2 linked regions of the Schizosaccharomyces pombe genome follow. The protein of the gene in region 2 purifies or fractionates together with the protein of the main gene of each other region. This does not show direct contact. Each region holds a gene or a part of one and is shown on either strand. Other genes may lie near its edges.

Region 1 (3,840 bases), 3.1 Mb from region 2:
AGCTTTGCTACCTGCTGAAGCTGAGGTAGCTTCATTTTGAGATGCGCTTTTTCGAGGATTGTATTTGACTTTCTTGGAACTCATGTATAATAGCGTTGCGGCATGATAAATTGACAATAAATTGAATTTCAATAATCCTAATATATGGATACAAAGGAAATTTTGAGCTTAAACGTAAAAAGCTGGCACAACATTGATATAAGTGAATGACTTGTGGTGAGAGCAGACAACGATCATGCGAGTGTAATCAGCACTTTACTGTATGATCGGCTGTATTAAATACGAAGTAGTGGAAAAAAAATAATAATTTTTGGTTAACAAATACTTTAGTCATTTGGTTAAACAAAATAGATTTTTTCGTCCACAGACCCATTTTAGTTATGGAAAATATATATATATATTTTTTTTTTCGAAAAGAGCAGCAATAAGGAATACGAGGAGGACCTACAAAACAACACGGAGTAATTACGAGATTAAATTACGAATAATAAGTACGTTGGGTATTAAACGAAGCAGAGAAAATATAATAAAATAGCATCATATTGAGCAAAGCAACAAGAACTTCAACCACACTGCAATAGTTTGCAACTCAGAAGAGAAATGAGAGATTGAGCCGAACCTGTTACATTTACAATATATCGAGATGAGAAAGACGTATTTATGAAAATAAACACTCATAGTCATAAGCAAAATAATTGAGAAAACGCATTCAATCTCCTAATTCAAGTCATAATACAACACTTTTGAAACGCAACACAACACAGCAACACATTTTCAAAGTTGAAAACAAAACCATGGTTATTACCCTTGCATTTTTTTGCAAAAGATACTATTGAAACCTTAAAATAAACGAGGAAGCGAACCAAATAAAAATCAAGCGCAACCTGACAGAAACAATCAAACAAATTATCCCGCAGAGGTTTACTTGTTAACAGTGGTGTTTATAGTCTCAGTAGCTTGCTTTTTAAGTTTATCACCAGATCTCTCAAGGGAAGCAACCAAATGCTTGATAGAGCGCTCATTGCATACATACAATCTGGGAAGGATGAAGGCAAACAAAACATTCCAAACAAAGAGAGACTTGTAGGAAAGGAAGCCACTAAGGAAAAACTCAATAAAAGCAGCAACAGAGGCAGTAAAGGTCAAAATAGGGCTCTCAGCAAACAAGATACGTTGGAATTGAATCAACATAACGTTGAAAATGTCGACAATTGAGTTGACAATCCTATCAAGAGCCTTGGAGTCGCAGGTGATGTAGGAGGAACGGAAGTGAGACAAGACACCACGCTTACCGTTGGAAGCGAAAAGACCACCGAATTCAATGATGGAGGTAATCAAAAAGACATAACGGAAAGTTCTGAAAAAGAGGCGAGGAAGATTGATCCAAGAAGGGACATAAACGAGAGCAAGAATACTCATCAAGGTAGAGAAACTGCAAGAGGTGTTCTTCCAAGTCAACACAGACCACAAAGCATTAGAGATCTCAGGATCGACGTTTTGCTTAGTAGTGTTGGTAAAAGGGCAACCGGCCTCCAAAGCAGGGCATTTTTTGTCGGCACCTCCGTGAGCGCCGGAAACTGGGCAGACGGGACTGCTTGTCTCGCCAGGTGTGGATTGAGAGGTGTGGTGGGGCTCGGAAGAGGAAGAAGAGATGTTTTGAATAACGGGATTCTCAGAGTTGGGGAGAGCAGAGGGAAATGAAGTGGCAGAGGGCAATTCGGTGGAAGGGTGAACGGTGTGAGCAGTCAAAGTATTTACAAGGTCCTCAGCACCGGATTTAGCAGCGGCGACATCGGAAGCAGTGACGGAACCGGATTCAAAGGGGTTTAATGAATGTTGTTCAGACATGATTTGCGTGTTATATTCAATTTTAAAATAACAACTTAAGGTAAAACAGTTACTAAGAATCAAAAGAAGCCTTAAAAAAAAAGAGAAACCTTTTAAACTAAAAAAGGGTGCAAGTGTTTTTTTTTTAAGATATAGTAAAAAATAGAGAAAATTTAAAGAAAACTAATTCTGAAAAGTGCCGACTAAAGAAAATAGCTAGTAAAGGACGACTTTTCGGAAGAGCGAAATACTTTGTAACAAAGACTTAAAAAAGTGAATAAAAGATTTTTGGATTTTGCTGTAGGATAAATAAAATGTATATGTATTAAATCCAAAGCCAAGTTCCAAAAGGGTTAACTTTTAAGGGAGATATTGATCGAAAGAAAAAATAAAAGTAGAATGGGTAAATACAAAAAGAGACCTTCACGAGTTGTTGAGAGGAAAGTCAATATGTTTCACTTACGAAACTGTTAGAAAGTTGTTAGTTGGAAAGCTTTGCTTTTATATGGTAAAAGTCAAGTCGGTGGTTGGTGGTTAGATAGCAGTCATAGCGTTGATCATGGAATGACGTTGTTCTTGGCTCAATAAGTCTGTGTCAGCGGCGACTATAGCGATCATGCTTATAATCGGTTTACAGCAGGCTAATGAAAGAGAATTTTGGATGGTAAAAGAAAAACGAAGAATAGGAAGAAGATGGGCGGGAAAAGATGGGTTAAATGGTATGAAAAGATGGGTGAAATGGTATGAAAAAGAAGGAAATGAATAGAGAAACAATGAAAATGGATGAAAAACGAAAGAACGAGCGAAAACGGATGACTTTTGCAAAAGCTAGAGATATTGAAAAAAGAGTAAATAAAGGGAAAACAATGATTAAGTGCAGGAAAGGCTACAAGAGGCGAAAAAAAAGTGAGAAATAGATAAATAAATTCGTGTAGGATAGTTTGTTGAAAGGAGAGCGAAGTATGGAGTTTGATTGTAAAATGTAAAGGAGAAAGGGATAAGAGTGATGAAAAGGAAAAGGATACAACTGAATAAAGAAAGGATTAAAGATTGAAAAAGGAAAGGAATAGTAACGGTGAGAAATGATGAATCATCCACAAGTGAGTAAAACACGAAGAAATTTGTTGTTTAAAAAATTATTTAATATTTGAGGAATTGAAATCAATTAAAACTTTGAAGAAACAAAATTCATTCAAACTTCTGAAGCCTTTTTTTTTTTTTTTTTTTTTTTTGGAAATTTTTTTGACAAAAAATTTATTTCTTAAGAATCAAAGCAAATGTATTTCAAAAAAAAATATATATATATATATGATGAAATAAATAAGACCATACCTTTTCTACATTTAGTAATTGATTTATTTCAGTTTACGTTAATTAATTTAATGTAATTTTATTTCGAATTTTTTATTTTTTTTATTTTTTCACGAATTGAATTGAATTGAATAGATTTTCTTTTTATAATTTAATTTTTTTTGTACAAATCAGTTTGTATTGAAATTCTTCATCATCTCATTATGCGTTGTGTGTCTGTTTATTTACACCCACTTAAAAATTGCAAGCATACCGTATGATGAACAAGAAGGCTTTTCTTGCCTTTTCGTGAAAAGGGAGGGAGAAAGAGAAAACGTATTTAATAAATTGGACATCTCATCGTATGCTAGTATATGAAATTATGAATTGAAATGAAATGTATGGAATTGCATTGCGCTGGACTGAATTGCATAGAAGTGGACTGCATTGCATAGAAGTGAATTACATTGTACTGAAAGAATTGTGTTGTATCGTATTCAAAGTAATGATGTATCATCCTTTCCTCTTTCCTCTCTACTCTACTCTACTGAAACGGTCGGGTTCTTCTCTCCTTTAGCAAATCCTTTACTGCACTCTGCTGTACGGTCTTGTTCCACAGTATGATGTTTAATGAATTGTTGGACAAATCTCGTTACCATCACCAGCATGAGCTGGTCGCGACTGCCGCTTATCGGATGGGATGAGATGGGAGTATGGCATCGG
Region 2 (3,598 bases):
TGATCAATAATGTTTGTAAACGTTTGAAGTTCATTAATTTTTTTTTCCGCGTCTTGCTCAATAGAGAAAGTAGGTCTAGAAATTATCCATATGGGGTTCATCTTTTCTTCAAATGGAAATAACGACTGCTTTTCTACGGTTGAATTATTGGGATTAGGCAGAGAAAACGGACGTGCCGGTAAGCTTGAAGAATCATTTAAAATTTCCGTTAAAGAGTCGCGTCTTTCCTTAGAAATGGAATGCACTGTTTCGATATTTTCAAGTTTGGCGACTTCGGGTAGCTAATTGGGTAAGCCCTTGTAAAAACATTTATCTAAGCTTACTTTTATATCATTTTGAGTTTCATTATCCTCATAGTTGACAGCAGGATAAAACTCCAACTGATCAAACATCGTTCAAAATAATTACGATAATCAGAAAAACATCGAGCACTTTGTTGGTGTTTCCCAGTGAACCATAACACAGCGCTACGTTACTTTGCGCAGATGCTAAGAAACAAAACGCATTAACATCACATAAATTCAATTGAAACTGGTATTTTATCCAATGTAAACTAATAACTTGCTAGATTTCAAGAGTGCGCTGCTATACATGTGTTTATTGTGCTACAAAATTCAATAAAACGTATTATTTTTACCTCTTAATCTTTTAATACTCAAAGAGTTTTTGGATAAACAACATATATCCATATTTCAATTTCCTTGAAAAAAGCTAAACTAAAGTCTGAGGAGACCCCCCAAACAAAGATAACTGAAATAGAGGAGTAGTGAGCAAAAATAAATAAACGGAATTATCTCAAACAAGTTTTTAGAGAAAGAGGTAAACGGTATGAACATTCAAAATTTACTTGGGTGAAATAGAAACTACTCGTTAATAGTAAAGAACTCAAAAACCAGGAGCACTTAGACATATTAAAATCACACTGATTGGTGAAATTTATATAAATCTCTAGCAATCAAAAGGAATAAGGCATCACTTTAAGTAGATGAGGGAGCAGTGGTAGAGCTTGATGCAGTGGGACGGCTTTGAGCAGTACCTACAGGTGAAGCACCGAACTTGGACACATAAGTTTTGAATGTATGCCAAGCATTTTTGATAACAGGAGGAACTCTGTTATCTGCAACCAAACGATCCATTCGAAGGCTAACGGCTTTAATGGATGCACGAGTAAAGTGACTATTAGTGTATCTCATGCGAAGAAAGAAAATATAGCCCACCAACCTGGAAATTGAGTTTTTACGTAAGAAAACCCCAAAGAACAAACGGAACAATAAAAATGTTTCGAGAGAAGCAACAAGTTGCATAGCAGGTTGAAATTGGCTTCGAGTGTACTGATTTAGCAAATTAGAAACACGAGAAGCATAAGACGCAGTTTTCGCGTCAGAAATATTAGGGTAAATGGCAGGCAAAAGCACACTACGCAAGTAAGTGGAGATGTGGAAAGTGGCGTAAATGGCATATGGAGCGAGAGAAAATAGGATGGGACGATCAATCAACATTGAAAGAGCTAAAATAAAATACTGAACATTGTCATCGAGCATAAGACGGGCAAAGAAATGCTTATTCCAAGAAGCACGGGAAGTCAAGTTTGGACTATAAGTTTTGTAAAGGACAATTGCATATGCAACGATGGCACCAAAGGCAGCGCTTTTAAACAAAAATGGAGGAGCGGAACGAAAAGGGATTGCTTGAAGAGCATACAAGACGGAAGAGATTAGCACTATTACTTGCCCCGAAAACCAAACAAACTGGGTGTTCTATAATAAACGGTTAGTAATGTATTAAAAGAGTGAAGACAATATGACACTGAATCAAAATAAAATAATGCTGACAAATTAGTCTATGTTTTAGTAATAGATTACAGTTACGTTATGGAACTAAATAAGAAACTTTTCTTATAATCAACATTTATTATCTGATTTACACATGATAGATATATTTACCTTGACAACAGGTAAAACCCTTTCTTTTAAAGGCTTGACAACTCGTTGTTTTGGCTCCATTATAGCAAAGTTGTTATTTTCAAAGTTTTAAAGATGTGGCTTTTGTTAAGTTAATATCCAGCAAAAAGTATGTTGTAATAGTTGTGATAGAGTACAATGTACGCTTACCAATGGAAGATCCTAAATTTTCCTACATCAGAAAAAGAAAACCTATGGAACTTCTGTGAAATACGCTAGTACACGTTTTGACTAGAATTCTTTTAGCAGGAATATAAGCGCTTAAAAAAGGATTTACGCCTTTGAGTAGCATTCAAGCTATTACAATTAAATAGATTTAAATAGGGGCTACACTCTTTAGTTTTCTAAAATCCAATTGTTTAAGTCTAGCAGACACTCCAGAAAGCTAACATAATTCATTTACGACCCTTGATAACAATGTACAAGAAGCTCTGACTAAAATTTTTCAAAGTGAAATGCTAAAGTACGATGTTGTTTGTTACGCTATCTGTTCTATGTTTTACATGGAAACAATAAATGGATTAATTCTTGCACATTTACTAGTGGACAATAAATGGTTCAGATTCAACATTACTATATCACACTTGTATTGCTCGGCAACCTTCAATAACTTCTATTTAAAAATAACTAGCAAGATCTAAACTGGCTCTAGAGTATTCTCGAAGATAACACTTTGTGGATTCCGTTTTGAGTCCAGACGTTCTGTTAACAACATATCCATACGTAAATTGTTAAGTTATTTGTTGGCGAAGACGAGTACTATAAACGAATTTTGAGAAGCTTGGTATAAGTAAATGTTAGACTGTCGAAGTAATACGCCCTATATGTGTTCATGCCAAAAGAAATCAATAATATAGTTGACAATTTGAAATGCAGTGTATAATTTAAGGCAGTAAGAGACGAAAGTAAAGAGGGAAAAGGAAAATCATGTACTGTTATCACTTTATTCTTCGTTGATTTTCTTCTTCTTTATAATCCCACTATATTTGGTGGATTCATAAACTCGGTTGGTCCATGTTTATTTTAATTGATTTTCGTTAGCTATCTTAAAAGAAATTGGGCGGAAGATGCATCATAATGTTTAAACCAGTTTAGTCTGATCAGACACTAGTAAAAACGAGAAAACAATACTTATCTACCAATGAGTTTTCAGGCATCTATAAATATCGTTCTAATAAAAATCGAAAAAACAATCACAACTAACAAGAAAATCTTTTAAGAATTCTCAATCTTTATAACAGTCAATTTTCTTAAATCTAAGCTAATGCTCGCGAAATTCTTTGGTAGCTCTGAGTTAATAAATCAGAAAGACAAAACAAATCATTCAGGTTGAGTACATTTATACAGTAAGATTCCAACCAAAGCTTCCATATATGATATCTTTTGTAAACTTAAGGAAAGAAATAACGAAGCGGAATGTAAACATTTATTAAGTGTTTATACGTTCCAATACGTTAGATCTTATTATAGCGATTATAATATCAATTTCATATCTATCGCCGTATCGTTAATGTGATATAACAATAGGTTGCGATAAGGAAGAGGTTACACGGTCATATAGCCATACTCTCAAAAGATTAGATAAATTAAATTTTAAGTAGTACTACCTCCTTTTTGCGTTGGTTGAAAACTTGAAA

The links. Proteins that work in one complex are often made in the same cells at the same time.
Region 1: the proteins of tts1 (region 2) and rtn1 purify together in Schizosaccharomyces pombe (co-purification; one study listed by BioGRID). This does not show direct contact.

What each region holds. Positions count from the first base shown.
Region 1 is NC_003423.3:1,261,757-1,265,596, forward strand, and holds rtn1 (reticulon Rtn1), read right to left. Parts: upstream 1,849-3,840; coding exon 922-1,848; 3' UTR 542-921; downstream 1-541. Other genes in the region: protein dbl7, read right to left, coding at 1-84. UniProt on the Schizosaccharomyces pombe protein: Required for the correct positioning of the cellular division plane by delimiting the actomyosin ring assembly at the cell equator. Overexpression causes cell lysis.
Region 2 is NC_003423.3:4,366,794-4,370,391, reverse strand, and holds tts1 (tetra-spanning protein 1), read right to left. Parts: upstream 2,051-3,598; 5' UTR 2,004-2,050; coding exon 1,944-2,003; intron 1,845-1,943; exon of another isoform or gene 1,758-1,844; coding exon 978-1,757; 3' UTR 576-977; downstream 1-575. Other genes in the region: COG complex subunit Cog3, read right to left, coding at 1-281, 324-392. UniProt on the Schizosaccharomyces pombe protein: Required for the correct positioning of the cellular division plane by delimiting the actomyosin ring assembly at the cell equator.